Yarrowia lipolytica: one gene and its partners. The protein of the gene in region 2 interacts with the protein of the main gene of each other region in a pairwise test. Links are inferred from orthologs where the notes say so. Each region holds a gene or a part of one and is shown on either strand. Other genes may lie near its edges.

Region 1 (7,479 bases), on a different chromosome or scaffold from region 2:
GTACATATCATATCGCATAATTCGTTAACTATTAATGTGTGTCCAATATTACTCTCTACTCCCACCAATACATCTTTCCACTGGAATTTCCTCCTGCAATCCAGTTTTGAGTAGGATGGAAAGCCAGAGCAGAAGGAACAGCAGTCATGAGGGCATCACCAAGATGAGCAAGCTGATGACCAGTGCCAGAATAAATGTCAATGTATCGGTTCATGTTGGCGATTGCAAACTTCTGCACGCCGTCCAGAGGCTGTTGTTGCCATCGAGCTTTGAGAATAGTAACCCATCGGCCAGTCTGGCAGTTGTGTTTGATTCGAACGGAAGGTTTCTTGATTTCGGGCAGCTCCTGGTCGCTGATCTCGGGTTCAGCAAGTTTGGAATTTCTGGTTCGTCGGGTCTTCTTCACAGGCTCTGTTCCGTTACCGTCATTCAACATATCCAAGAAGTAGTCACTCTGGTTGAAGATGTTGATGGTGTCGTCATAGCCGTTGCAGACAATCTGGCCAGCCAGGTTCCAGTCGGTAGAAGACACAGACAGTCGGGAGTTGTAGATGGCTTGGAGATGGGGCATCTGGAACTGTGTGTCGATGACTTCTCCCCCAGGAATGGTTCTGGCAGTTTCAGTTGCTCTCAGGTCCCATATTCGCATCGATCTATCCAGCGATCCGGTCGCAAGCAAATGAGTGTTGATGGGGTCCACCGAGAAGCCACCAATTTTCTTTTCTCCGAGAATCAGAGTCTCATATTCAGTTGATTTCGTTCGTAGATCTTTTCGAATCAGGTGACCGCAAAGAGTAGAGGCATAAAGAAGATGAGGTTGGGAGTGATTTGCCACGTCCGAAACACCGACACTGGCGTTCTTCTTGGCCTCCAAGTCCAAAACGTCTCCACTCTTGCCTGTTTTCAGCTCCAGACTTCTCACAGAACCGTCATAGGAAGCGGAATACAAAATATCGTTGGAATTTTGATCGAAACAAAGAGCAGGAATGGTAGCGTGGTGCAATTGCAACTGTAGGGGCTCGTTATCGGAATCAACATCCCAAATACCCAACACTCCAATCTTGTCTCCGGCCAAAACAATCCGTTTATCTGTACCAGGATGCACAGCAGTGATGTAGATTCGCTCTTTAGTTACTTTGGACATTTTTCCGAGCTGCAGACCGCTCAAGTTGTCTCTGCTCTGCTTGATGTCAATGTCCTTAGTATCCTCTTCTTCCTTCTTGACAATCTCATCAAAGAAATCTCCCTGACTGACCCTCGATCCGTCTCCAAACAGCTGGCCCAGCGACGCACTCCACTCCTTTTCGTCGAGTCCAGTCTTAGTTAGCATCTCCTTGAGACTCAGATCTCCAGACAGTCGCTCCTTCTTGACTCCTCCATTGAGCTGTTGCATCAGTCGCTTGAGCTCACCGCTGCCTCCCAGGTCCTCCTGCTTCAGTGCGTTTGCCTCGGGATCCAGACCCTGCAGCCGACGCGATTTTCGTCGAGTTCTGGGCGCGGAATCGTCAGATCCATCGTCAGGCGACTCAAGTCGAGCTGAGTTTCGTTTCCTACTCTTCTTCGGCGCAACCTCAGGGTCCACGCTCTCCTTTTTGGCCTCTGTGGGAAGATTCAGAGCCGCCAACAGTGCTTTGTTTCGCTCAATGTTGGCCAGACGAATCTGCTCCAGTTCACTCATTATCGTAATTTTGTCTCTTGGATGTCTAGCTGGTCGCGTCACTGTCGAAAATACTAAATGGCGGTGGTTAGACGCGTATGCATATCCGATGTCCCAAAGTGGACGTTCTTATAAGAGCGGACGGGTGGTGGTACATAGTCGGTGTAGGTCGTGTGAAGACGTTAAAGGTACCAGAACAGTCATATATAGTCTTTGATTTGATTAATATGTTGATATCCTGCTCACTTCCACTACAGCCGCCAAAAAAACACTGCTGTAACGGTCTTGTGACTCCTTCATCACTGTCCAAATCGGGAAACAATAATAACTTAGTTTGGTCAGAAAAGGGATTGCTATGATGGATCAACATTAGACGAGAGAAGCACAAGTATGATGGCTAAAAGTGCATGGACACACGACCTTCAAATCGCCCCCATATGCTTGGTTTAGAAGTGACTGCTAAACTTGTCCACTTCCTGATCTCATCCGAACTACGTCGTAGTTGGTTGTACCCCTCTCCTACACACTCTGAAATACCAAATAATGCTCTATACTATAACCTATTACATATCATGTGTACTTTCCGTTTTGCACTCCTACATGTCCACGTCCTCGTCATCCTCTCCTGGGGTCCACAGACCGCCGAGATCAAACTCCTTGGCCCACTCCTGGACCACAGTCTTGGTGTCCTGCTGCTTGGCGGGAGCCTTGAGGGACTTGGATGACGAGATACCAGGTCGGTTCTCCTCGTCGGCAAGGGCCTCAGTGTACTCGGGAGCCTGGGTCCATCCGAGAATTCGCCCGTCTCTCCAGTCGTTGATGATGTTCTTGGAGGCAGCCTCGAGGTTGGGGATTCCTCCCTTGCCGAGTCGGCCAGTCTTTCGAGCCACGTGAATTAGCACGTTTGTGGTGAAGTCCTTGAAGTTGGCGTGCGACAGAGGGGGGATAGAGTAGTGCTCCATGAACTGCTGCAACAGAGACTCGTCGTTGGTGAGTCGCTTGAGCAGCAGTTGGACAGCGGGAACCTGGTCGACCATCTGCTTAGCAGGAATTGCGTTCAAGAGCACGAGACGGGCCTGCTCCTGCACCTTGTTGGCCTTCTCGGAGGGGAAAACGATACCCGGAGAGTCGAGAATCTTGAGCTTGTTGTCGATCTTGACCTCTCGAAGAGCGGTGGTGACACCGGCTTGGGCTCCGACGGGACAGGCTCGTCCTCCTCCATGGATCTTGGTGAGAGCGTTGATGATGGATGACTTTCCAACGTTAGGGTAGCCAATGACTCCGACAATGACAGACCGCTTAAGCTGCGAGTCCTTAGCGTACTTTTTGAGGGCGTCCAGCAGAGCGGTGGAGGTGGACTGCTGGGTCACGTTTTTGTTGCAGAGCTGTCGGCCGGTCACGGGACCGGAGTTGGCAGCTCGCAGGGGCAAAGTGGGGAAGGTGAGTCGCAGAGTGTTGACCCAGTTCTGCAGGTTCTCGGCAGGGATCAGATCAACCTTGTTAAGAATGAAAATAAGTCGCTTGTCGGGATTGGACAGAATGGCAGATTCGACAGCTCGAGACCGGGTTCCCTCGGGATCTCGAGAGTCCAGAACGTAGAGAATGACATCAGCCTGGTCCACAACGGTCTTGAAGATCTTGTCGAAGGCCTTTCGCGAAGACTCGTTAAACACATCATCACCAGGGTTGACCTTGACATCCAGCTCCGTAACCTCGCTCTCCATCTCTTCGTCCTCGTCATCACTGCCATCGTACTCCTCGGCAGCAGCCCGTGCACTGGCCAACAGAGCAGCCATGGGGTTGTCCTCAAATTCCTCCTCATCAGGCACGTCCTCGCCTCGAGACCGGGCCTCAGCTCGGGCCTGTCGAGCTTCCTCCTTCTTTCGCTCCTTCTCGGCCACCTCGGCCTGTTTCTGTGCGTCCAGCTGCTGCAAAAGCTGCTCCTTGTAGGGGAAGGAGTTGGGGATACCGAGATCCTTCTTGTTTTTGGACTTCCAGGTCACGTCCTTCTTGGCGAGCTTTCGCTGTTTTCGACCATGGGCGGCAGCCTTCTTCTTGATACCCTCTCTCAGTCGAGTAGAGGTTCGCTTGGATGTGGGGGCCTTTGGTTTGGGCATTGTGTACTGTGTGTGGAGTGGTTCTCAAATGCACGCTGAATATATTTTCAAAAAAAATTCAAACTTCAAAACCTTATCGTCCAAGGTGCAGTGTTGTGGGAGGCAACTTGTGAGTGGCAAGATAGGCTTGGGGTGTAAACATAAGGAAAGAGGTTTGCTTAAATAGTGGAACTGGTTTATTGGCTTATTTGAAAGCGATTGTCAATTTCACTTTTCTCCCAGTATATCTACATCTTCGGTAAGATAGGGTGTTACGCGAGCTCTAACCTCCATGCTGTCTATTGGGTGGAATTATAGTTACGTTGTTGTTACATCTTTAGTTGAACAATATACCTGCATCTCTCTAATACATACTGTAGTGTCTCTCCCACCGGCCTAACACACAGTTCATCATTGACGGGAGGTGCCCGACATTCCTGTCTACATGCCACTTCAAAGTTTTCCACGACGGTGCGACACTCAGCTCGGTAGACGAGATTGTAGAACCCCCGAACAGTCCCCCGAACCCCCCTAGGGTGACCACTCTCCATGAGGTGGACACAATGCTCCGACCGGGGCAGAACCAGTAAGCATGTCTTTCACCTCTACTACCACCCCTTCTAAAGCCCCATGTAAGAGCACCCAGGCCAAAATGAAATCTCCGAATGTTAAAGTCATCACGGCTAACATCGGCGGTTTTAAGATGGCGGAAGCGCTTAACCGATTACCCGACACCATTGTAAACATTATTCGAACTACTCACTACCCCGATCTCGTCCTTCTTCAAGAGACGAACTGGGTGGACTCCTCCCTACAAACCGCTCAACAAATCATTTCAAACTCGCCCTACCCGGGGGGCAGACACTACACCCTCCTCGGCTCCACAGCTGGTGTTTCTAATAGAAGCGTCGGCGTGGGGCTAGTCTATTCCGACAACGTCACCATCACAAACTTTACAACAGTTTTTGAATACTTCCCAGCCCTAGACAACAGACTGTGTTTGGCCGACGTGCACATCAAAGGCACCGACAGACACCTATCGCTGATCAACGTATACGCACCAAACGAGCAGGGAGCCTCCCCCTTCACTAACCGGCAGTTCTACCAGTCACTAGACGACTATCTACGCCTCCATCCCTGCCAATACCCCCTGATAGCGGCAGGCGATTGGAACGCGGTCGCCTCCAACGACGGCAGGATTGGCGAAAAAGTGACGACTCACCTTAAGGACTTCTTAGCTAACTGGGACTTACTAGACACCTACACTCTAATCAGCAAACACAGAAAAGGCCTCTACACTCACACCAACAACAGCCGCGGAGCTGGCAGGCGCCTGGATCAGCTGCACATCTCTTCGACACTCTCACAGTGGATCAAATCCACACAACTGGTAACCAACAAGCAGGGTCACAACATCACGAAGTCCTCTCACCACGCGGTCCAATTCGTCTTTAACTTTGGCAACCTCACCCAGCGACAAGACAGAGGCCCAGGCACCTGGAGGATGCCCTGGTGGGTTTTTGATACAGAGTACATTGCTTGGCTCAAGTTCCACGTCAAATCCATTCTGAAGCGATATGGTCCTTTGAAGCCCAGCCTGAAGCTGCAATGCCTGAAAGAAAACATTAAGGTCACCATCCAACAGGAAGCCAAAAACCGCGCACTTCGAGATTCCAACCACCCAGACAACAGACGCCGCGAGGCCCTCATGGCAACAGCCTCAGACTGGCAAGCCTACCCAGCTAACGAGCCATACCCGATGCTCCATGCTCGGGTCGAACAATCCAAGCAACAGATGGAGATCCACTCCCTACGGAACCACCAAGGCCGAGTGAAGACCGACACCTCCTCTCTCTGCGACATCTCAGCTCGATACTTTGACAACATCTTCGACAGAGCTGCCGATATCAACGACACCGACGACAGCGCCTTTTTAGACCTCTTCCCCGAAGAAACCCGGAGGGTGAATACAGCTAACCCAAGCCTGGACTCGTCTTTTACCAAGGAGGAGATCTTCGATACCATCAAGGCGTCTACGCACAACAGCGCGCCAGGGCCAGACGGCATCCCGTACAGGTTCTACCGCGACTGCTGGGATGAGCTGGGGGACTTGATGACGGACGTCTACAACGAAGCTGGAGCCGACTCGCCCATCAGCACCGAACGCAACACCGCTATCATCAAACTACTGTACAAGTCGGGAGATCAGGCCGACATCTCCAACTACAGGCCTATTTCTTTGATCAACACAGAGGTGAAGATCTACACACAGCTCATTAACAAAGCCATCCAGAACATTCTTCCGGACAGCATTCACGGCGCCCAAAACGGTTTCGTACCGGGTCGACACATCACTAACAATCTCGACACCATGGATCATTTTTGCAACGCCTACTCCCAGCTGAACATGGGTTGGGTCGTAGGATCACTGGACTTCCGGAAAGCCTACGACACTATCAGCCAGAGTTGGGTGATAAAGACGCTTCGAAATGTGGGTGTCTCGGAACTGATGATCAACCGTATCCTAGCTGTACAACAGAACGCAGTAACGAGAATCAACATCAGAGGTGTCCTATCTCGCCCAGTCCGCATCAAGATCGGAGTGAGACAAGGATGCCCTCTCTCTCCAACCCTCTTCATCATCGCAGTAGACGCACTTGTGCGTCGTCTGGACCGAGAGATGTTTGGACTGGCCCCAGGCCTGCCACTATCCCACCACCACACCACTGGGCACAGGCCGCCACAACCCCCTACTCACCCGGAGGCAGTGGCAGCTGGACACATGAAGGTGTCGGCTTTCGCGGACGACATAGCGGTGTTCCTCAACAACATCCAGGACGTGGCCACGGTTGGTAGAGTGCTCTGCCTCTTCCAACGGGTCTCAGGCCTCACACTAAACCCGTCAAAGACGGTGCTTCAGAAGATCGGCCCCCCCGATTGTTTTGTTCCACTAACCTTTATTGACGCAGAATGGCAGCGAACAATTGACGCCACCTGGCCAACCGACAACAACACACGACAGGCCCCGACGCTCCGGACATCTGACAACATTTTCCGGTACCTCGGAGTACACTTCGGAAATCGCGAAAGGTTGGACACGCACTACGCTCAGATCAAGGAGGACCTCAAGGAGTCGCTGCGACGCCTTTCACTATGGGGTCTCCCCTATTACAGCAAGGCGTGGATGATCAACATCTACTTCTTCTCGAAACTGAATTTCCTTGGACCCTACGTCAGCCAGATCGACAACACCTTCATCCGAGAGCTGAACGAACTAGCGTGCGACAAGATCAACAAATTATCACCCGACAAAACACGCAAAACCTTCAGCAATGGTTTCATCCAAACTCCGGTAGGCAGAGGAGGACTGAACCTGCGGGACATGGGACGTTTCATGGTGTGCCTGAAGGCCGCTCGGGCTTACAGGTTCTTCCATGGCTCATCGCCGGCCCTTTGGGACTGCACCTTCCAGTTCTACAGCAGAACTCACAGTCTCACACAGGAAAAGCCACACCAGCGCGTCGACTGCCGCTTTCCGACAGGCCAAGCTTGGGGCTACGCAGCCTCCCCCACCATGCGAGACGCAATCAGAGCTTCTTTCGAGCTCAACAAGCCCCTCACCGCGGAACATGCCAACCCTCGAGAAGATCACGAGCCCTCTACAACAGACACAGTTAATCACAGAATCTGGGAACGAAACCAGGTGAACGTGAGAGCAGCAGAATC
Region 2 (8,152 bases):
ATAGACTGAGATGATGGAGCGGTAAGAGAGATTTGTGGTACAGTAGGTGGCCGTAATAACAGTGCTAAGATGTCATTCGCATTACTCGTTGTGTATCAGTGGATGGCAATGTTCATGATCAGTGCCGTAAACAGAAGAAGGCATCATTCGCGTTGCTCATGATGATTGCTTCTACTTATCGGCCTTGTAAGCCCCATCATTCACCGCTCCACTAGTACTGCTCTCCTCTCCAGTCATCCAAGCAGGCATCTTTCTATCATTAATGTCCCCCCTCATGGCCATTCTGTACACACCAGCGTACACATCCGTACCCTCCATCCGTAGCGTCACTTTCCGCGAGTTCCGGGTAATTCTAAACTCCACCATGCTTTGAGGATTCTCCGATCTGTACTGCAGAGGCTCGGTGATCTTTTTTGAGGTGAATTTCGCCGCAATTCTGTTGGCCTTGGAGTTGGCCACTTTGGCAGGCGGCTTTTTGACCATGGCCAGAGGCGACTGGTCGACTTCTCCGGTAGCAAAGACGGACCAGGAGCCCATGGATGCGGCTTTTCGGTTGTCCGAAAGAGTAGTCACCAGGGTATTGAAAGAACGAGTGGGGAGAGCGCTGGAACGGACCAAGGAGATAGGGTCAGCCACAGTAGTGACACTCTGAGTGACAGCATGCAAAACTGTTTGGGCGTAGACGTGATCCATGCTCAGATGAATCACGTGAGGCGAATGGTAGGGAAACACCAGGTACAGGGGCTTCAAACGAGCATCGTCATTGGCAGCGTCATATGGTTTGACACGAACCACAATGACAGGCAGCTCAGGATGACGCATGGCGTGCACGTGGCATCTAAAGGCAGGATAGATTGCCTCACTCATTCGCGTGGCAATGGTGCCAATGCTCAAATCAGGTACCTTCTCTTTACCGACAGAATCTTTCACTGTACTGTAGCTCCAAACCAGCATTTCTGGACGTTCAAAAACGTCTCCCCAAATGTCCAGTTGGGCCAGTTGCAGTAGATTGAGACCGGCATTCCAGTACTTTTGTCCCACGAGCTGCATGTATGCCTTTCGAGACTGCACTCCTTCAGTCAGTTCTTTACGAGCATCGTCCATGATCTTTTCGTACTTGGGACCACCTCGAGCCACAATAACGCCTTCCTCCACTTCATCAATCCCCTCATCGGCCTCAGCGTCGTCCTCGTCGTCTGAGAGCGCGTCCAAGTCGAATAAATAGTCGTCCTGAGAGTTGATGGCCACCAGCGGCAGACAGTCTTTAGACCCCAGCCACAGCTGAGTCAGGTTGTACAGCGTGTTGTGAGAACACTTGTTGAGCGCGTTTCGTCGCAAATTCGTGGTCTGCTTCAGGACCATCTGGTCCCTTAACGTGCCATTGAACTTCATGGTGTATCTTGTGTTGTGTTCGCGTCTCCATCGCATCGCGACCTGCATGCTGGAAGACTATGTCAACATTGGAGATCACGTGATTTCGGGATCCGGGAAAACATCCCCTAGAGAGCTGAGTTTGAAAATACGGTAAGCTAGAGACGGATATCTCGTTGGTTGTAGTGTGTGATTCTCTTCACAAAGGTGATATATATGTTTGTAGCGGTTTTTAGGGCGTGATATCTTGCCTTCTATACACTACATCGTTTTCCGTTATATACTGTCCTGAATTGGAAGTCAATTAGGGGAAAAAGATAGCGTAAGAATCTCCCAGACGAAATCTACATAATGGTTCTCTCAGCTCTGTTCTATGATCACTATGTCTTGTTTCCACACTCCAAAACGCACGATTTCGGTGTGGCTGACTAATCAAGCAAACATACACGCAAGAAAAGTGTCCAAGAGTAGTGAAACGAGCTTCAGGATAAGAACTGTTGATTTTTTAATAAAATTACTTGCAATTTTCTCCCATATTAGATGTTTACTCGTTTACCAATATCACTTCCAAACCGGGGCATCAGTCTTTTTAAGGTTTGGAAGGCAAAAAAAAATATGCATGATATGGAAATTTTCCTGGACCGATTTCGATTTCCATTTACACCCTTTACACCACACAACTACGTTTCAAAAAAATGGTTCGAGACACAAAAGACAAGGTGGACAAGGGCAAGACGGATTTGTTTGTGCGGTCCATCCCTCTGGAGGTGACGAACGAGGAGCTGGCGGACTTTTTCTCACAGGACTTCCCCGTGAAGCATGCCGTGGTGGTGACCAATGCTGCGACCAAGGAGTCCAAGGGGTTCGGGTTTGTGTCTTTCACGACCGAGGAGGATGCTGCGGAGGCGCTGCTCAAGTGCCGAAAGCAGAAGCTCAAGGGCAAGATTCTTCAGATCGAGTTTGCCAAGCCTCGAGAGCGAAAGACCAGAGAGGACCGGCCGTTTGAGAGCAGTGGAGACAACAATACTTCTGTGGAGAAGCGAAAGCCGCGACTAATTGTGCGAAACCTGCCGTGGTCGGTGCGGGAGCCCCAGGATCTGATCAAGGTGTTTTCCAAGTACGGCAAGGTGGTCGATGCGTTTATTCCCCGAGGAGCTGGAGGCAAGATGAGTGGGTTTGGATTTGTGACCATGAGCAAAAAGCAGCATGCTGACAAGGCTGTGGCCGAAAGCAAGGGTCTTGAGATTGACGGGCGAACTGTTACCGTTGACTTTGCCATTCAGAAGGACAAGTGGCTGAAACATAAGGACGGAGAAGAGGTCGAGGACGAGGAGTATGACGACGACGAGGACGAGGTCAAGGACGAGGTCAAGGACGAGGACGTGGATACTGAGGTCAAGGATGAGGTCAAGGAGGAAGATCTCGATCTGGATGAGTCCAATGCCGATGTTGCCGAGGGTGACGATGATGACGAAGACGAGATTGAGGTGGATGAGGAGGAGGAAGAGGAGGAGGATGATACTCCCAAGGTCAAGGCCCAATCCAACTCCTCGACCGTTTTTGTGCGAAACATTCCTTACGATGCCACAGCAGAGTCCCTCAAGGAGCACTTTGAGAACTTTGGTGCTGTTCGATACGCTCTTCCTGTCATTGACAAGACCACGGGCCAGCCCCGAGGAACTGCCTTTGTTGCGTTCGAATCATCCGACGACTGCGACAAGTGTGTTGAGCGAGCTCCTGCTGCAGCCACCACTTCTCTGCTTGTTGCTGATGATACCGACCCTCGGTACGTGTTTGAGGGCCGAATTCTGGCCGTCACTCAGGCTGTCCAGCGAGAAACCGCCAACAAGCTGTCTGAACACAATTCGAAAAAGCGAGCCGAGGCTCTGGGTAAGCTGCCCAAGGAGAAAGATCGACGAAACGTCTTCCTGATCAACGAGGGTCGAATCGGCGAGAACACTGCTCTGGGTATGACTCTGCCCAAGGCCGACATGGAGCTGCGACAAAAGTCATACGACCAGCGAAAGAAACAGCTGAACGGCAACCCCAGTCTGCACGTGTCCCTGACTCGTCTGGCTCTGCGAAACCTGCCCCGAGCTCTCAACGCGAAGGGTCTTAAGGCTCTGGGTCGAAAGGCCGTGGTGCAATTTGCCACTGAAGCCAAGGAGGGTGCTCGACAGCCTCTGTCCAAGGAGGAGGCTATTCGGTCGACCAAGGCTCGAACCGAAGAGGCTGCCAAGTCCAAGCATGGAGTGGTCCGACAGGCAAAGGTGATTATGGAGCAGAAGGAGAGCGGAGAGCTGGGCCGATCTCGAGGATATGGTTTCCTGGAGTTCCGAGACCACAAGGCTGCTCTCATGGCGCTGCGATGGCTGAACGCTCACGAGGTGTCTACTGAGGAGGTTCTTGAGGGCTACGAGGAGAACGAGCGAAAACACGTTGATCTTACTGGTTCTTCGCGACGTCACCTGGTGGCTGAGTTTGCAATTGAGAACGCACAGGTTGTCAAGCGACGAAAGGAGACTATGGCTCGAATCAACATGCAGAAGAAGCGACATCGGGACGACGAGGGAGGAGCGGACGAGGGTTCTTCCGAACACAAGCGACCCCGACGAGAGGGAGACCGAAGAGACCGAGGAGACCGAAGAGACCGAGGAGATCGAAAAGACCGAAAGGGTGACCGAAAGGGCAAGGGGGGAGACAAGAAGGATGAGTCTCGACAGCCTGAAAAGGACAAGAACCTGGAGCTCGGAAAGCTCATTGGACAGAAGCGAATGCGAAAGAAGAAGGGAGGAAAGTAAGCGTTCCTTCAAGTTTGAAGGAAACAAACAGTGTTGTTGATAGACTAATTAACACCGTAGAGCAGTGGAGTATGGGCTCGCTGCTTCTGCATTAGTATGATAATATAGAAAATGAATGCCTAAAGTCTATGAACGAGTAGGGTGACAGAGAACTAGAGATGCAACAAAAGTACATTATGCACAGTATATACTGTAGTACAGTACATACAGTAGTATGTCTCGCTCCAAGGGGCAAAAAGAAAAGCCCGACGTGGGGCTTGAACCCACAGCCTTGAGATATTCTCAAATCTGAAATACAATGGACTAAGAGTCTCACGCTCTACCGATTGAGCTAGCCAGGCGGTGAAAAAGTGCGAAACTTTGGTCAAGGGTATCGAAAAGGTGTTTAGTCAGCGGGGGAAAAGGAGGAGAACGCAAAAATGCGAGAACACGATGGTTATGTGCTTTTCTGAACACCCTAACCCGGGTCCTATGTGCGGGTATAGCATATAGGCTTCAAGTAGCTGAAATGTATTTCCCTAGAATAAAAAAAATGGCCAAGAAGCTCTAGACTCAAGGACTGAAGCGAAATTGCTCATTCGCGATCCATTCACTAGTGTAAAGTCATTCTCACGGCGCGATCGATGGGCCGAGTTTCGGGGTATGAGTTGTCGTGAGTAATATAGTTAGAAATTAGAATAACAGCTTAGATCCATCAATTAAATTCAACAAAGTTACTTATATTTCTCAGGTAAAAATAGTTTTTACAATCAACGTGTCTCTGGGCAAAGATGGCCAGAAAGAGCGGACTATTCACGTCGTAAAGCCATTCCATCGATTACCGACAGTGATCATCACCCAGATGCCAGATACTCTACATTTTTCGACCCCGCTGTCATAGCTCCTTTGTAAGGGTGACTTTAGCGGAGATTAAATGCTATAAAATGACAGTGGCAATGATAAGGAGTGTAGGGCTGCTGGAGCAAAGGGATGTATATAGTGGTATCAGATAGAGTCTTCCAGAGCAGTGGAATTCACTTGTTTGATCCAGATGTCAAAATCAGGCGAGTGAAGTCGACAGTGTACGCAATTACTACTTCAGCAGTCAGCAACGACGATGTGTATTATAGAGAGTGCTGATTGTAGTCACAGTGCGCAGAACCAATACTCTGGAGGGATCCAAAGGGCCAGTTACAAAACAGCACCCAGTGTATATCCAATCAGGCTATTCGTGGCCTCGATATTATTATCGCTTAGATCTCGTCTAGAGCGTTTCCCCCCCCCCCCCCCCCCCCCCCCCCCGGTGGGTCGAATTCTTTTTTGTTCTTTTTTTATTCTGTTTTAGTTCTATCGACAGGTCAAAATTACATGTTGGGACGGATGAGGATAACGAACTCTATCGAATAGAGTTGATTAGGGGTGCACTCGGTGACGCTAAGAGAAGTGGTAAACAGGACCCAGGTTCAAGCCGCCACAATAACACCACCACCACCGCCACAACAACCACCATGTCTCTGTTTTCGGCGGCCACTACAGCCGTGGAGCGAACGGGCTATGGCTCGCGCTACGACCACATTTTCGACATGTTCCATCCCATAGACGGCCGGATTCCCGCAGTTTGCTACAAGCGGCTTTTGGAGACCATCAACGTTTCGGGCGAAGACAAGGACCGGCTGGCGACGCTGGCAGGATCGATTCTGGAGGGCGGCGACGGCAGCGGAGGCATTCTCACATCGTCCTTCACTCGCGAGTCGTGGCGAGCAGCCCTGTTGCTGGCCAATGTGGCGCAGGATGGCCTGCCGTTCGACGACCCATCGCAGCTCGTCAACGTGGACACTCTGACGCCAATGGACTTTTCCGAGGAGGGCGAGCGGTCTAGCATCAACTTTAGCGCCTCGACAACCGGTAGATCACAGACGCCACTGTTTGGAGATGATCTCGACGACCATAGCATCCAGAGCAGCAGAAGTGAGAGCATCATCCACAACAACGGACACAGCAGGGGCCACAGTGCTCTGGACTGGAACCCGGAGGAACAGGAGGCTCTACAACAGTCACAGCTGTCGCAATCGCAGCTGTCCCGCTCTACAACCCCACCTCCTCTCAACCCCCAGGCCCTGGTTCCCGAGTCCGAGTCTGGAGTATGGACTGCCCCTCCACGACCCGATTTCGCACCCAACAAGGCCGACTCAGTGACACTGGCTATTGTGCCCGAACGCGAGGGCATGTTTTTGTTCCGTCACGTCAACTACTCAATCTCTTCAGTGTCGGGAACAGACCGCATCACGGTCATCCGACGGTACTCGGACTTTTCCTGGCTGCAAGACTATCTTCTGAAGAAGTACTGTTTTCGACAGGTGCCACTTTTGCCGCCCAAGCGACTGGCTGTCAACGGTCATTATCTGTCCTCCGACAACTACTTTTTGGAACGTCGACGACGAGGTCTGACTCGGTTCATTAACCAAGTTCTTCGGCACCCCGTGCTGGGCCAGGATGAGGCAGTGCGAACTTTTGTCACCCTGCGAAACGATATCAGCGGCTGGAAAAAGAGTGTGTTCAACACCGCCCGAGAAGAGTTCAACGGACGAACGATTGATCCAAAGTTTGTGCAACAGTGGGATGAGCAGCAGGCGACTGCTCTATGGGCCGGTCTCATTGTTGAGCTGGACAGATCGCACGACTCCGTGGTTCAGCTGTGTGTTCTTCTGGACCGAGTGGCTAAACGACAAGAGGCCCAGGCTGTTGACAGCGCCAAAATCGCATACAACCTTGGCGCAGCTCTTCCTCCCTCCGCCCGCGTGCTCTACTCTGTCGCCGATGACGGGTGCGTCCAGCAGATCACTCGGGGTCTCAGTCGGGCTTCGGCACGCATTGAAACCGACTGCCAGCTTCAGCAGGACGAGGCACGAGGTTCGCAGGTGGGAGTGCTTGAAGAGGCCAAAAAGTACCGGGAGGCGCTGGGCTCGATGCGGGAACTGTTTGACCGGTTGGAAAAGTACGGAGGCAACAACATCCCGCTGCTGGAGAAGCGGATCCAGCAGAACCAGGGCCGTGTGACTCTGGCCCGGCAGAGAAAGGCGCTCATGTCGGAGATTGAGAAGCTGGACCGCGCCATCAAGATGGACACCGAGATGATTGCGGCCCACAAGAACCGAACGTGGCTGATCAGGGAGTGCATTACGGAGGAGATTGGCCTGTTCCAGAAGACGCAGTTGCAGATATCCAAGCTGCTGCAGGAGTTTTGCGTGGACAAGATCAAGTACGCTGAGCTGTATTCGGACAACTGGGGAGGGCTGGATAATGATGTTATGGATTTGCCAGTCTAACCGTATATGACCATCTACTGGAGAGCGTAAGCAAGATGAGAGCATGATATTCAGGGGAACCGTACGTACTAAAGCAGAGTACCTACCATTTGCTATAGCTATTTACATCTATTTTATTTTAATATGACTATTGGGTGTTTTCAGATCTGGCTATCACCAAATATTGGACGGTGGCACAAGTATCGTACATGGCAGCAAAACAATGCGACCAGAAGGACAGCGTATTGTTGAATAATAACCGCGAAAAATAGTTGACCACGCTGATTATTATATCATGTGACTCTTTTCGGATGTAATCAAACAGTCGCTATGGTGACATCGGTTGGTACGATAGCCATACGGCGGCATCCAAAGAGCTAGAATTGCCGAGGTTTTTTTGATGTATTCAATTACGTAATACTGTACTTTGACAGTCACGTGACGTAGTTGAGCTGCCTATCTGATGAGTAATAAGATAGTTGTAAGATACTGTACTCATACATTAGTCAACATTACGTCCTGAGTTGACATGTCGGACCCCTCTGAATGTGCGTATAATATCTTTGGATATTTTGGTGGGGTATGTGCAGTAATTGGAAGCCAATTTGTTGGGGAGTTTGGGTGATAATACTGGTGTTTGAGGGTAGATTGGTGGTTATTTTTGGAGAAAAAATCATACGGATGGATAGCGCTAAT
Region 3 (7,717 bases), on a different chromosome or scaffold from region 2:
ACACCACGTTGTGGCCGTGGAAACCTCAGTTCGATTCTGGGTGATGGCATTATTTTTTGTTTGTGTGGACTTGAACTTGGTACAATATTATCCATTGGGCCAAGTTGTTTTTGAGACCAACCGCTTGAACTCCTAATTATCCACATTTTTGACTATGTACACTTCTATTTTAACATTATACAGTTAGTTCTTTTTATAAGCCCGCGGCTCCGTTTATCCTACTCTGTATCAGTTGTCTATTCATCAAAGTTCTTCTCAAGGAACTCAATGAACAGCGGAATGATTCTGTCATCGCCGAGTGCTCTCATCTTATTGAGAGTCACAAACTGACGCCTCATACGTTGCAGTTCAGGAAGACTGACAGCATCTATAGGCAGCTGAAGACTGTGATTACCACCATCTAGCTTCACGAGACCTCCAACATTGTCTCTTTGGATATCAAGGATCTCGCTGACAATGGTCTGGGTCTTCTTATCAAGCTCATAGAGGTAGTCAGTAGACGTGGCAGGCTTTAGCACAGTTGCCTGGTTGGGTTTTAGAACCTTTCGGTGAACCAAAGCATTCCACATTTCCTCACCAGAGATGTCTTTGTCAATATGAGGAATGGTAAAGAGAGGAGAATCCCACTTGTTCGCTCCATTCGGCTCTTCATATCTGAATACTAGGGCGTCAAAGAGATCGTCCTCCCACTTGTTGGGGTGAATTGAATTGTATTCCTTGCAAACATCAACGGGAGCACCCACATGTGCCACTCCATAGTTGGTAGCCACGGCCTTTGCTTCACACCACAGCTGGTATCTGAATCCTTTGATATATGTCATGTTGTCGAGAATGACGATGGTGTTTTTGGAAACCAACCGTTTAACAGCAGATATTTGCTCGCCACGGGTCATTTTTTCAGTCCGGCTCTCCTTGTACGAGTCTTTGCTCAGTCCCAGAGACTCATCATTGATCACCTCCACTGTCAGATTCGACCCTGTCTCCTGGATCTTCTTCTCGAAGTAGTCCTTTATTTGCATGGCTCGGGTTGTCTTACCCGCGGAAGGGTATCCTGTGATCAAGAGAAGAGGCATGTCGCAAGTTGACGTGTGTGATAATTGTGTGGAGAAGTGTGTGTGAGAGAAGATGCTCTTGAGCATTTGATTTTTTAGAGTTCCTTTCCACTGATTGATGTGAAATGGGGAGGCGTTATATTGGGCCTAGTAATCGATGATTTGAGTCAAATTTCGAGTTAAGAAACTAAAGCAGAAAACAAATACTACTTTAATATTGTCTTCTTTCTTTCAAAATCTCTATAAAATCTGTTATGTGCACATTTTGTCATCTCTCCGATATACTGTACAAGCTCTTCGCCAACTTTAATGAATTTTATGTGCATCTGATGCAGACTTTCAAGCATCGGTGTACGCCACTACCACATTACACATATCACCATGAGGGAATACCAAGTCAATATGGCTGCGAGTATTTGCCGTTGCGGCGCGGAATTACTCACCAGAAGAGGCATCCGAATGCTATCTACCTCGACAGTGGCTACACAGAGCAGATCAGGAAGCCCAACAGACACCCAAAAGCGACCAAACAAGATATCGCAAGAGAAACAGGACAAACCCAAGTCGCTATTTGTCCCTAGAACATCTTTCGACCCAGTTCAAGTTTCAACTTCAAACTTTACACATTTCCACAAAGAGTTCCTCAAGAAGGGCATGTCCATGCATCCTCATCTCACTCTGGAGTTGAGAGACGCTAGGGCACCACTGAGCACAGGAAACGTGCTCCTTTCCAACTCGTTTTCGTCAGCAATTGGATCAAACAGACTCTATCTGTATTCCAAGAGTGACGCCTCCCTTCTGGATGATGAGACTCTCAAACAATGGCACCCTCAGGGCAATTATCTCCAGATTGATTGCCGATCTAGACAAGCAGCAGTCAAAATCATGAAGTACGCAGCCACAGTGTTCCAGAAAATCGACCCTCCACCGCCAGTGGGGTTCAATATGTTGATTTGTGGCATGCCTAATGTGGGAAAGAGTACTCTGGTGAACACTATGAGACGGTTGGTGGTAGAAAAGACAAATGATTGGAAGATGCAGGGGAAGAAGCGATCTGTGGCCCCCGTTGGACAGCAGGCGGGCGTCACCAGAGCTCTGTCTAACCGAATCAAGGTATGCGACAGCCCTAACATCTTTGTGTTTGATTCCCCAGGTCTGTTCATGCCAAGTATTGCCAACAGTGAGACTATGATCAAGCTCGCCCTTCTCAAGTGCATCAAGGAGAGTCTTGTTGATCCTATCGTTCAGGCTGACTACCTCTTGTACGCACTCAACAGAGATGATCCCAAGAGTTACCGTGATCTGTGTCCTCCCACCAACGATATCAACGATATTCTTGTTGCACTGCGGCGCAAGTGGCGGTCAACTCCTAACCAGGACGCTGGAACTGCTCTGCGGTGGATCAACGAGTGGGTCAGCGGAAAAAAAGGTAAGGTCATGCTCGACGCAGCTACTCCTGAGGCGTTTGACACGTACAATCAGAAGGAAAGTGAACGAATGCGAGCGTGGATGGTCAAGTTCCAACAACGAGGCAAGGAGAAGGGTGGAAACCGAGCCAGTAAAATCTTCCGCGCATAAAGGTCCTACAGACTACTTAAAACCAAAGTGTATATAGTACCATAAGTAATTATTATTTGTATATATATTAACATGGATGCTTGGGTGTGCTTTTCCGACACTGTATAAATATGGGGTGGGTTGACTGTGTTGAGACGCGTAATAGCTTTAGTTACTCCTCATACTCAGACTCCATCATCTTTTCCTCTGCCTGGCCAGCCTGAAACGTCTCATTTTCGAAAGCGGCATGTGCTGACATGAATCTCGTGGTTAGCATTGGCTTGTGGGCTCCTTCATATGTCTCAAATACTCACATTGACGCGTGAAGAATGCCGAGTTCTCTGATGTGCAATGCTTGTTCTGTGGTCCGTTCCATGAGGTTGCTCATGTCAACCAGATTAGCCTCAAGCTGCGCGAGCTGCGACTTGAGCTGGGTCATTTGACGGTCTCTTGTTGTCATGGCTGAAGTTGTGTGCGAGGCGTGTTTGAAGGCGAGTCTCAGAATGTTTAAAACGGTGTTTAGATGAACGTTCATGCATGAATGCTGCATAGTGGAGGCCATACGAACAGAGAGAGTAGTTGAGGTGATCTGTCACCAAATCCTGTCAAATGGTAATCACGGGCCGAAAATTATAAAGTGTACCGGACTAGAAACTCCCTCAACCACTCCCGTGACCTCAACCATACCAATAGATCCTCGTTCAACGTACCTTATCGAACTGTAATCAAGGGTAAGGGTAACATAACTACAGCAACAATGCGTGGCAAATGTGTGGGGATCCTTGTCAACCGTCTAAACCGTCTTCGACATTTCACAATCATCTCTAGCAGCTCTTGTCACACTCTTCGAAAGACAAAGCTGATCTAGGGACATTCAAACATAAAGTGCTTTCCAACTTCCATCCCAAAATGAGCCTCCAGCAGTTGGGCTATACTCCTCGAGGCAACAAGACGTTCCAGACCCAGGCAGAGGTCAATGAATACCTTGACAACCACGCCGCTTCTTCTCTGGTAAAGATTGAGGGTCTCGACGGTCTGTACATTGTCGATGACAACAATACTGTCCATGGCTCTCTTGGACTCAACCTGGCCAAAGAGTATGCTGGAGCCAAGTTTGAGCTCAAGTCCAGTCCTATCATTGAGAAGTCTTCCGATCTCGGGCTTGATACTCCTCTTGATTAGGGGATTGTGTGGTGCCACAGCTAACTATATGACGACTAGCGAAGCATACTACAGTATGTACACCTACGATCAATGGTGATTTGAGTCCTACACAACTGAGTAGGACACTTGTACGTTTTATATAGATTCGAATCTCAATATTTTGAATTGGACTGTTATTCACTAATAGGCGAGTTTTGTTCGTAATGCTATGAGTACTGTAGTGCTGCATGTACATTGCCACCATACAACACATGTTATGAGCAGATAAGGTTACAGTTTTACAGTTCGAAATTTTTCTCGATATTGCATGAAAGGCGTAAAAAATTGGAACACACTCCTAATTGCACAATCATGGGTCTGACCAAGAAGGAAAAAGTCGAAAAGAAAGCCCGAAGCGTGGTGAAGGGCAAGGCCGATAAGAAGGCCAAGGTCGAGAAGCCCTCGTCCAAGCCCGCCAAGTCCGCCAAGCCCTCCAAGTCCAAGGACGAGGTTGATGAGCTCGATGATGAGTTCGATGAGGTTGAGGGTCTCCTTGAGAAGGGAGACGTTGAGGAGGAAGACGAGGAGGAGACCAACGGAAATGAGGACTCCGAGATGAGCGATGACGATGAAAAGGACGTCGAAATCGAGGAGGAAGATGACGGAGAGGGCTCTGATCTCGAGGAAGAGGAGTCCACTGCCGTTGTCACTACTGCGCCCGCTGACGCTGAGGTTGTCCACATTGCCTCAGACGCCGAGCGAAAGCCATTCAGCACAATTCCTCTGTCTGAGAACACCATGCAGAGTCTGAAGGACATGGGATTTGAGACCATGACTCCAGTCCAGGAGAAGACCATCCCTCCTCTGCTTGCTGGCCGAGATGTTTTGGGAGCTGCCAAGACCGGATCCGGTAAGACTCTGGCATTCCTGATTCCCGCCATCGAGATGCTGCGGAAACTCAAGTTCAAGCCTCGAAACGGTACTGGTGTGATTGTGGTGTCTCCCACCCGAGAGCTGGCCCTCCAGATCTACGGAGTGGCTCGAGATCTCATGGCTAACCACTCCCAGACCCTTGGCATTGTGATTGGTGGAAATAACCGACGACAGGAGGAAGAGAAGCTCAACAAGGGAGTCAACCTGCTGGTGTGTACCCCCGGTCGACTTCTCGATCATCTGCAGAACTCCCAGGGCTTTGTCTTCAAGAACCTCAAGGCTCTTATTATCGATGAGGCCGACCGAATTCTCGAGATCGGTTTCGAGCAAGAAATGAAGGAGATTATCAAGATTCTCCCCAAGGAGCGACAGTCCATGCTCTTCTCAGCCACACAGACCACCAAGGTCGAGGATCTGGCCCGAATTTCGCTCAAGAAGGGTCCCCTCTACCTTAACGTCGACGAACACAACGTCAGCTCCACCGCCGAGGGTCTCGAGCAGGGCTACGTTGTGTGCGATTCTGACAAGCGGTTCCTGCTGCTGTTCTCCTTCCTGAAGCGAAACGCAGGCAAGAAGATCATTGTCTTCCTTTCGTCTTGTAACTCGGTCAAGTTCTACGGAGAGCTGCTCAACTACATCGATCTGCCCGTTCTCGATCTGCACGGCAAGCAGAAGCAGCAGAAACGAACCAACACTTTCTTCGAGTTCATTAACGCCAAGCAGGGAGTTCTAATCTGCACTGATGTGGCTGCACGAGGTCTGGATATTCCCAAGGTTGACTGGATTATCCAGTTCGATCCTCCGGATGATCCCCGAGACTACATTCACCGAGTCGGACGAACTGCCCGAGGTTCTGCCTCCGGAAAGTCCATCATGTTCCTGACCCCCTCCGAGCTTGGCTTCCTGCGATACCTCAAGGCTGCCAAGGTGCCTCTCAACGAGTACGAGTTCCCCAACAAGAAGATTGCCAACGTGCAGAGCCAGCTGGAGAAGCTCATCTCGTCCAACTACTGGCTCAACACCTCTGCCAAGGACGGATATCGAGCCTATCTGCAAGCATACGCCTCGCACCACCTCAAGACCGTCTACCAGATCGACAAGCTCGATCTGGTCAAGGTGGCCAAGTCCTTCGGTTTCAATGTGCCTCCCAAGGTGAACATTTCCATTGGAGCTTCCGGTAAGGGCGCCAAGAGCATCAAGGGTAAGGACAACCACAAGAAGAGAGGTGGACCCGGCGGAAAGAAGTTCACACGGTAGATTGCATAATAGATAGTGGATAAGGAAAGTAATAAAACGACATTAGAACGAATTATGAGTGGTGCATGGCAATAGAAGTATATCTGTACAATTCAAATACGCTTAGCTGAGAATTACTTGTCAGTACTGGTTCCAGTATTTGTAAGGAGTACCTGTACATTAGTATGTATACATACTTAGATATACCAATGCATTGATGTTAGTGTTTAATATGAGATCTCAAATGTTCGGTTGGCCAGCCCGATGATGCGTGTAGCCGTATTATGCGATTATAATTGTCCTTCAAGGTCCTAAACCGCTGCCATTTCCCGTCCGTCACCCTCCAGCCACCTGGCTGGAATGCGCTCAAGGAACTTCTGTCCGTAAGCATTGGAAAAGTAGTCTTCTGCAGCAGGTACGACTGGAAAGGGAAGGAACCAAATGAGTGGGTTGGTTCCAAAAACCTGTCTCCAGTTCTTTGCAAAGCCTTGGTCGAACGGCAGCGGGTCCTCTTCTCGCAGAGGTTGGATGATTCTCTTGCCTTCATATCTGAAGTTGACTAGAACCATGTCTCCCTGTTTTCTTCCGAGACCCTCCATGGCGGTAAGGTTCCGACACACTCCCCAGAAGCTCTGGAGACACACAGAGGTGCAGAATGCGGCCCAGGCACCTGTGAGAATCAGAAGAGCTATGATGTTTCCGTTAGGAATAGAGTCAGGCGCGCCCCTGTCGCGTCTGTATTGGCCCATTCTAGGGGTGAAAACAGCTGTCGTCACCAATGTGTAGATCAAGTATGTCGAGAACAAGGTCGTGTACTGTAGGAAGATCTTGTAGTTGTGTTGTCCGATCACTGTGCCCACCCAGAAACACATGTGGTCCATCTTGGGGACACAGTGTCCCACAATAGCCGAGTGGTGTGTTCGGTCCGGTTTGTGTGTCTGGCATTCTGAGCACCATTTGGGCATTCCCCAACCATCGCAGATGTAAGTATCTGGCAGCTTGGGGTTGATCTGCCTTGATACTATAGCCTGAGCCTTTTCGTCCACCACTTCTGATCCTGGAATGAAAATTTGCAAAGGTGACACTCCAGTCACCTTTCCAGGGCCAACAATGACGACGGCGGCCCAGTAGATGAAAACCAGTGTCTTGAGAATGCAATAGACAATCAGGAGAGCCAGCCCTGCCCGGTAGCCCATGTGGTGGTAGAGGTTCCAGCAGAGAATGTAGCAATATGCGTAGGTGCCATATCCCAGGAGTCCGAGAATTACGCCTGGGAAAACGATTCGCAGTGCCTGTCTGAACGCTGCTCTGTTCATTTCATGGTCAAGTGTGCTGGATAAGATGATGAGAATGTAGACAAGGTTCCTGGTGTAAACAACTCTATTGCCAACTGAACACGGGAGCAACCGCACCTTAGGAAGGTCGTACTTGCGGGGTATGAGTGATGTGAGCGGGGTTTTACCAAGTCAGATTCTGAGAACCCACCGGCAAGCCTTTTTGGAAGAATCTGGACAACTCCAAGGAGATTACAGACTGAGTGGCAATTCACCTTTGTAGAGAGACTTCCATGAGCTACCCCTATAGCTACTTAGAGATCGCTGAGTCTTATTTTGAAAGACTTACGGTTGAGACGTGGTAATGAGGCGTTTTAGCCAAAAAGATTTTACCAGAATGACACACAATATCGCATGAGTGATTTTTCAAACTAATCATCATACGAGTAGATACAGTACACACTGTCGTACTGTACGTACCTATAACACATTCCATCTTCAAGCTGCATGTTCTCAGCGTTT
Region 4 (7,923 bases), on a different chromosome or scaffold from region 2:
CGGTTCAACCAGCGAATCTCCAAGCTCAAACATGAGCTGGAGGTCAAGAAGAAACAGCTCAAGGCAAAGAATACCATCAAGGAGAAGAAGAAGGAGATCGATAAGAAGGAAAAGAAGGAGGAGAAGGAGGAGAGTGAGGACAAGGTGGAAAAGGGCGAGGTCAAGGACAAGGGTGTGGGCAGTGACGACGATATGGATTTGGATGATTTGTTTTAGCCGAGCTCGGCAGGGTGGGAGTTGATATGGAGAAAATCCAGACCCGAATCTATTCCGTTCCACACCAACGACAAAGTCCGATGGGTCCGCTCGTGGTCCGTTCACCAGAGGAGTCGACCTGTGAACTTCAGTCATCTCTCTACACTGCTTCGATATGCCACGGGACCTCCACCGTATGTCGTCTAACAACGGTCTGCATCGGTCTAATGAAATACAATAATTTATTCTGGTTCTGTACGAGTAGTGGAGGGTGTGTGCATGTTGTCATATGACTGGCATAGTTGTCCACGTGTTCAGTTTTCACGTGACCGGAGCACAAGATCGAGTAGTTGGTCACGTGTCCAACTTCCGCGTCTCACGTGACGACACTATGATACTTTGGTTCTGTCTGCATGAGATTCATTGACTTGGAGGTGACTTCATTCTTCCAGAGCTACATACGGTCCGTCCCCTGAAAAGAAGTGCACAACCCAGCCAATAATAAACCTATCGACGGTTAACAACAAAACAATTGTGTTCACCTGAACAAGAGCTCTTCAACGATATAATTTTTACTAATGTTCTGATTATGTAACCGTCACAAATGAGCAGTCTTGTGCAGAAGAAAGGCTTCTGTATATGGCACCTAAACAGACAATGTATATGAACATTGGGATTTAATAAACGACCCCGAAAGACATAAAAGCAGAATAAAACCACAATAATCGCCTGAAAAAAAGGCTTTGGAACACTTTGGAACACCTTGGAACCGTTTGGAACCCTTCTGACACCCCATTCAGGCTTCAGTACAATTTTCAGAATTTTCACGGACATTCCACTTTAATCTGGCCGACGAGCGTTTGTGTCTCCAACTTTTGTAATACCAGCACTGGAGGGATAAAAAGTAGTTTACTAAAACCGTGTCGTTTCGATGATTAATTTGGTACTAATTCTGACAAAATTGGGTACAATTAGAAAATAGGACAGATAGAAGTGTGCTCACACCGGAAGACATGGCAAGCTTGAGAAGAGAAGCGGTCACGCAATGTGGTCAAGCGACTATAATCACTTGCAGATGCTCTAATCACGTGCAGATGATCTAATCACGTGTGGATACTCCAATCATGTGACTGAGAAAGGGAGGAAGGAAGGAAGGGCAGGGAATTTTGGGAGACTGGAAGGGGGTTTTGGGAGCCGTATCTGGAACAACAAAGGGTAACGACTTTGACTTGGTCACGTGACCAGTTCTTCATAGCCAGTATAGAACTTTTGGAGACGTTGTCAGCGCTGTTTGGAGTTGGGTCCAGATCTTTCGAGACATTCAGAAACGCTGGTGTTCTCAGAAAGCTGGTCATGGAGCACTCAGACATTAGTACATGTAATGATAAGGCGTTGAACAGCCGGGAGAGTCCAGTCTCTGCTGGTTTGAGAGCACGTGATCCAAACATTGGAGTTTCCGTCACTTTCTCAGCTGAAAGTACCAGACCTCCGTGAGAAACCAGATCCACTTCCCCCGTTCAATGTCAACTGGAACTGTTACAACCTTCAGCAGCAATCTGCTTCTTGGGCAAGTGCCTACAACTTGACGAGGTCTCCGGTATTGTCTCCAGAATGACTCAGTGAGCTTAGGGGTTCCATCGGCATGAATGTCCGAAAGAGTATCCGTTCTAGTTCCACATGATTTTTTTGACTGTACTGGCTTGTATGTATGATACGATCCGAACTGGTGACTTGACGACCGCGTCACGTGACTCGGCGACCACATCACGTGATCCGCGAACTGTCATCGCTACAATGCTACAATGTCAGAGCTACAATCGTTACAGCTGACCAGACCGACTCTCGTCACTCAACTCGCCTATTCAATCAATGCTCAATCTATTAATATAAAACTTTTCCGTGATCCATCTATCTAATCCAGGTGACGACCAAGTGAGTACCCAACCAGGTTGGTTGGAGACACTGAGCCGACCAAATCAATACCGTAATCAATACCGTCCATGTCTTGAATCCGACTCGGTTTCGGACTACGTCCTCAAACTTTGTCTATCTCCAATCATTCGATCCAACAGTTCTCTTTCCGGAAAACAAATGCTTGGGCTTGGTCTCGGCAATATGTCGATCGGCCTCTCCTCGTCGGGCCTTCATGTTACCCTTTCGCTGGGAGTGCTTGGCCATTCGGTCGGCCTTGGATCGCACGGTGGTGACAATACCATCGTCTCGTCGGTTGGACTGGCCCAGGGGCATGAGGGACATTTCCTGGGTGGAGACGGCCTCGTTGAGGAAGGTCTGGTGGCCAGACACGTCGTCGGAGGCCTTGGCTTCGGCCAGGGCGTTGGCTCGGTCCACCACCTTAGACGAATCGAAGCCCACTCGCTCCAGATGCTCCTCCATGTCTCCCAGCGACTTTTTGGTCTTTGTTCTGGGGATGGCGGCCTTGTTTTTGAGTGACTTCTTGGACCGGGCCGTGTTTCGCATCATTTTGATCTTGTTTCGCAGCCACTGGGCCTGCTCGTGGATATCCTCGGCCTCGTCGTCCTCAATTTCCTCCTCCGAGTCGTAGAAGCCCTCCTGCTCGAGTTTCTCCTCCTCGTCCTCCAGCGCCTGGAGCTTCGAGGCGATATCGGGGTCGATGAAATCGTAGACATTTCGGCCGTTGAGCAGCTCGGGCATAATGTCCTTCTTCCAGGCCTCGTCCTCCAGCAGATAATCCTTGGACATGTCAATGGAAAAGACTCCAGCGCCTCCATTTTCGTCCTGAATGTCCCGCATCAGCTTTCGTCTGTTGGGGTCGTTCTTGTCGTACTTTTGCAGGAACTGGACCGCCTCAGGCACAGCCGAGGGCCGCTCAATGTCGTCTCGCTTGACGGGCTGGGCAATATGGACCTGGTTGAGCAGATCCGAAGAGGCGCCACCCTTGACATGACGCAGCTTCTGCTCCACTCGAGCCGCCAACAGCTTCTCGCACGCCCGGTTTCGCACCTCCATAAGACCCTCCTCGGCATGGCACGACAGCTGCATAATCTCCACGTCGGGCTGGGCAGCAATGCCCTTGAGAAGCTCCTGGTTCTCCTCATCCAGATCCTCCGGTCGCTTGACGTCAATCTTGTTGATGACCACAATCACCTGCTTGTTGGCAAACAGCGGCTTGATGGAATGGAACAGCTTGACCTGCTCGGCCACAGAAAAGCCACACTGCTCGGAAACGTCCATGAAATACAGCACACACGACCGAATGTGGGCAATGGCGTAGATGGACTGCATTTCAATGTTGTTCATCTCCTCGGTGGGACGGTCCAGAATACCGGGAGTGTCAATCGCCTGGAACCGCAGATACTTGTAGTCGAAATGGCCGACATACAGAGACTTGGTGGTAAACGCATAGGGCTGGACCTCGACCTCGGCTCGAGTCACAGACTTGAGGAACGAAGACTTGCCAACATTGGGATAGCCACAGATGAGCAGGGTTCGAGTGTTGGGATCGATGGAGGGCAATCGACCAAGATGCTGCCGAACTTGCTCAAGATAGACAAGAGGGTCCTTAAGCCGCTTCATAATGGTGGCCATACGACCAAGAGCAGCCCGCTTGAGCTGCTTGCACTGGAAAAGAGACTGACCAAACTTGAGCAGACGCACGTAATCACGTGACACCTGATCGATGAGCGACTTGGCTCGGGACAGGGATGCCAGAGACACCTTGTAGTGGTTCTTCTCGTACAGGGTATCGAGCAGGTCTCGATGGAACGGGTGGATTTCGTTAATGTTGGGGAACGACGTGACAATCTCGTTGAGCTTCTCCACAAATCCGTCCGCTGTGAATCGCACTTTTCGCATGTAAAACGCCCGGATTCGCGAGATTTTGAACCCGGCTCGAATTACCGTGGGCGTCTTTCGCTGCGTCCGGTTCAGCACAATGTCCAGAAACTCGCTCTGGTTCGGAATCGTCGGAATATCTTTCCACGTTAGTTGCATTTTTCCTCGTTGAAAGTTGAAAACAGTAGAGTGTGTTGCGTGTGTAGAAAGTGGAGGATTTTTTTTTTGGGAGCTGACGCAGCTGCATAAAACTTTTAAGGTTAACGTTTTGGGATATGCAGAGGTTATTATGGTCACGTGAGGTGGCAATGACTATAAAATGAGTACGGGTACGAGTATGAATACCCGTAATATCGGGATGAGGAGTCATGTGATCGAGATTGGTCTGAATTAGTCATTGTATGTTGATTTTTTTGGCGCTGGAAAACAACACTACAGATTGAGACCGAGTTTTTTTTTGTAAGGCAGGCACTATATTAGCCTAACTAAACTCCCATGGGCTGTGTGTAAATTTTGTCGGAAAAAATGGAAAAAAATGAAAGAAAAATAGGAGAAATATAAATGGTATAGTTTTTGTTATTGAAAAATCCATATTATAATATTCCCCCAATTTATTCCCCATCTAACAGTCTCAATCATCTCCATAGATCCACCTTTTTGCCTTTCTAATTCACCACCCAAACTCTCCATTTTTCTGGTCAAAATAAGCTTATCGGATCGATGGCAATGTCTTCCAGGCGGCCCAGAAAAGAGGAGAAGGGCGACTGTACTGAGAGTGGAGGAGTCTGTGCGATGTGGCGAATCAACTGGCGTTTTTTTCCGACTATTTTTATTGTTTTGGAAGAGTTATCGAGGAGTTATTGAGTAATTGAGTAATTGAGGTTGGTTTTTTTTTTTTTTTTTTTTTTTTTTTTTTTTTTTTTTGAGTAAATTCGAAATTTCGGAGAAATTCAAGCTATTTGGGTGGTTTGGGTAGAGCGAGGTTCATTATATGGCCGTTGAATAGCGCACAATATATATTTGTACACGTCTCTATAATTTGCAAGGAAATGTTCTGAAGTTTTCATTTTTCTTGTCATTTTTCTGAATTTATTCTCTTCTTCTGAAATTGCTATTTTTACTGAATTTCCTGAAATGTAAGTTTCTGATAAATTCAAACGATTAGATTATTCTAAATTATATTTAATCAAATAAAATCTGGAAAAAAGGAAACCTCTAGATATCGATTCTGTAAGTCTCACAACAACCGTCCACATCCTCCTTCTGACCACGCCAACTCCCCAAACGACCCCCAAATGACCCCCAAAGGAATCCCCACTATCATGGCAGAAACACCGCACCTGAACTTAGACTCGCATCACCGGACTTGACAGCATCTCCAGAACTGTACCACAACAGAACGGTACCAGCAACACTTCTCACAACCCACATGTCACTCAACAGCACCAACTCAACATCAACGTCGGGCATGCAGCTCTGCGCCAAAAGCGTGCAACTGGTACTCACCGAAACCTCCAAGCCCTATGATGAGGGCCGATCTCCGGTGCGATACGAGGCGACTGGAGTGACAGTTCTGATTGACGCCACTCGGGTCATTGTGCAGTCGGACTCGGACAACGCGCCCCAGCTGCCTCACGTGGTCGCGTTCAAGCTGGACTGTGTCAATTTCGCCTCGCTGGAAATTCCCATGACCAACATTCTCAAGGTGCAGCTGACTCAGCCGTGGTTTGGCCCCAACTCGGTGGACATTTCGTTTGTGGCGATTCCCAAGGCCGAGAGAGGCCTGCATCTGGTTCCCGGGCTGAGACGGGACGGAACCACGTGGCGAGCCGATCTGTACTTTCGCGAGGGTGGTGCCATTGAGTTCCAAAAGGTTCTGGCGGAGAAACACACAGCGTTCAGGGAGAGAGTCCAGAGACAGGTTTCGGTGGCGCGAGACGGCATCGAGCCGGATTTGCCACAGTACGAGGCTCCTCCTGGTTATGAGGAATAGATGGTGGGATGTGGACGAAACACAACAACCGCTTGGGTCTTATCCGACTGTTGACAGATAGACACTCGACTCAGGATACTGGTGGTTACCCATTTCTCCATTTCCCAACGTTTTCCTTCACGTTTGTTCCACGCTCAAGGCCTCTTCTCCTCGTTTTTCTAACGGTTTTTTTCCCCCGCTCAAGGTCTCTGTCAAGGTCTCTTGTCAAGGTCTCTGTCAAGGTCTCTGTCAAGGTCTCTGTCAAGGTCTCTGTCAAGGTCTCTTCTCTACCGCCCACCACCCTACCCAATCATTCGGCCACTCATATACACAACATCAAACGAGTCCCCTGAAGCGGAGAGCCCCACAAGTATAAGAAAGAGTTGGTGCAGAGACGCTTCACACATTCCGCAGTTTTGAAACTCTGAGACGATCGTGCCCTAAACAGAACCTGGGACCCGCGTCACCCAGTCTCACGAGACCCCGACAGCCTCTTTATACGTGTACGGTATATCGAGATAACTTATTGCATCATTTTGCCATGAGATGAGACAAGCATAAAAATGATATTTTGATGATGGTTACGTGGTAATACCCAGCCAGGCATTGAAAGTATATCTGCTACAGACTAATGAGTGGTGCCATTCGACAGCTGGAGCCCGACCGATCTCCACAATGTATTTCCTTAACCCAGGGCTACTAAATTGAAAATATGGAAGTACACCAAGATCGAGGAGGTCTGCTCTATGAATGTTGAAAGTGGGTCTTACGGTTAGATGCTTATAAAGCTGTCTTATTGTAGTATCATAGTCCCGTGACAGGGCTAAGGGGTCCGTAAGGCGCACTTTGGCGCATAGACTTTACGGTATATCATCCGGAACAGCCACATTTTTTCATTTTCAGCATTTCGAGAGCTGATTGAAGCGGAATTGGAAATGTAGACTCCGGAATGAGGCAATTTCGAAGTCCCCGTGTCTCTAGCTTGTCTGTATCGATTTCTAAAGTCGTTACACATCATGGGTTAGCTCGACAGTATGTAGGTGTCTTCACAATTGCCAAATGCGCATCTTGTAGTAGAAGATATGTATTCCTGGAGTATTTCCATGGTGCTATACCACCAAACATCCGCCCTTTGTTGTCATGGTTATTCCATTGCTATTATCCCTCGTTGTTAACGCCAGTATATATGTCGGAGTCATCAAATCAGGACCAGGATGTACTAAAAATGCTACAGATTCCATTATAAACACTCAAATGTATAGTTTCAAGTTTCTGGGGGCATCCAATGAGTGGTTGAAACACGTCAGTCAACTCCCCAAACGTCCTATGTGCTTCCTACACTAAGTATCAATGATATTCATACGACCTTCAGTAGGGTGACCGGATGCACAGCGAGACGATGAAACTTCAGATTGAAAAGTAACATGAAGTTGGAAAGTCGTCAGTAGTTGAGAAATGTCATGTTAAATCCATTACCAAAGTCTTTGATAACCAGATTTATTCTCTAGTCGAGTTATCGTCATATTATTAGATGGTCTCTTGTAAGACCTGTTCCCAAGGCAAGAAGAGCAATCGAAAAGAAACTGGAACGGATAAAACTCTCAAGATAAATAAAGTAGAGAAAGATCACTTGGAACCCGCAGTCCTTTGGATTCTGTTGTTTATCTCATACAAAAACACTCCATGTTCACATCTTTTTACTCAACAAAATATTAGCCTAATTCCAACAAAAAGCTAACTACTGGCTCAACTAAAACCCAACACAACATCCCCCAAGATTGACACAACCAGACTTATCATAGTGCCAATAACATCCACAAGTGAATTTCTGCTAAGAATGTAGATCTTTTAAACCCCCCGATATACTCATAATCCCTTTTAGTTCCTCGGAACATCAAAATACAACCCCCAGAACAAAACCCCCTTAACAATTTCCCAACTAA

The links.
Region 1: the proteins of YALI1_A03757g (region 2) and YALI1_F28744g interact in binary tests that used the Saccharomyces cerevisiae proteins (3 or more experiments, as listed by UniProt). The link is inferred for Yarrowia lipolytica from reciprocal best matches to the Saccharomyces cerevisiae genes NOP4 and NUG1.
Region 3: the proteins of YALI1_A03757g (region 2) and YALI1_E02317g interact in binary tests that used the Saccharomyces cerevisiae proteins (3 or more experiments, as listed by UniProt). The link is inferred for Yarrowia lipolytica from reciprocal best matches to the Saccharomyces cerevisiae genes NOP4 and HAS1.
Region 4: the proteins of YALI1_A03757g (region 2) and YALI1_B01698g interact in binary tests that used the Saccharomyces cerevisiae proteins (3 or more experiments, as listed by UniProt). The link is inferred for Yarrowia lipolytica from reciprocal best matches to the Saccharomyces cerevisiae genes NOP4 and NOG1.

The regions. Positions count from the first base shown.
Region 1 is NC_090775.1:2,870,791-2,878,269, reverse strand, and holds YALI1_F28744g (uncharacterized protein), read right to left. Parts: upstream 3,775-7,479; coding exon 2,254-3,774; downstream 1-2,253. Other genes in the region: YALI1_F28765g (uncharacterized protein), read right to left, coding at 56-1,678; YALI1_F28739t (uncharacterized protein), read left to right, coding at 4,346-7,479. UniProt on the Saccharomyces cerevisiae protein: GTPase required for 60S ribosomal subunit export to the cytoplasm.
Region 2 is NC_090770.1:369,625-377,776, reverse strand, and holds YALI1_A03757g (uncharacterized protein), read left to right. Parts: upstream 1-2,066; coding exon 2,067-4,172; downstream 4,173-8,152. Other genes in the region: YALI1_A03763g (uncharacterized protein), read right to left, coding at 172-1,440; YALI1_A03721g (uncharacterized protein), read left to right, coding at 5,660-7,477. UniProt on the Saccharomyces cerevisiae protein: Required for 60S ribosomal subunit synthesis. Probably involved in the processing of 27S rRNA to produce mature 25S rRNA.
Region 3 is NC_090774.1:227,635-235,351, forward strand, and holds YALI1_E02317g (uncharacterized protein), read left to right. Parts: upstream 1-4,124; coding exon 4,125-5,942; downstream 5,943-7,717. Other genes in the region: YALI1_E02287g (uncharacterized protein), read right to left, coding at 237-1,139; YALI1_E02290g (uncharacterized protein), read left to right, coding at 1,434-2,630; YALI1_E02305g (uncharacterized protein), read right to left, coding at 2,782-2,872, 2,924-3,069; YALI1_E02348g (uncharacterized protein), read right to left, coding at 6,233-7,237. UniProt on the Saccharomyces cerevisiae protein: ATP-dependent RNA helicase involved in 40S ribosomal subunit biogenesis. Required for the processing and cleavage of 35S pre-rRNA at sites A0, A1, and A2, leading to mature 18S rRNA.
Region 4 is NC_090771.1:165,727-173,649, forward strand, and holds YALI1_B01698g (uncharacterized protein), read right to left. Parts: upstream 4,168-7,923; coding exon 2,242-4,167; downstream 1-2,241. Other genes in the region: YALI1_B01644g (uncharacterized protein), read left to right, coding at 1-216; YALI1_B01711g (uncharacterized protein), read left to right, coding at 5,438-6,001; YALI1_B01719g (uncharacterized protein), read right to left, coding at 6,087-6,267, 6,311-6,387; YALI1_B01725g (uncharacterized protein), read right to left, coding at 6,562-6,824, 6,868-6,886. UniProt on the Saccharomyces cerevisiae protein: Involved in the biogenesis of the 60S ribosomal subunit.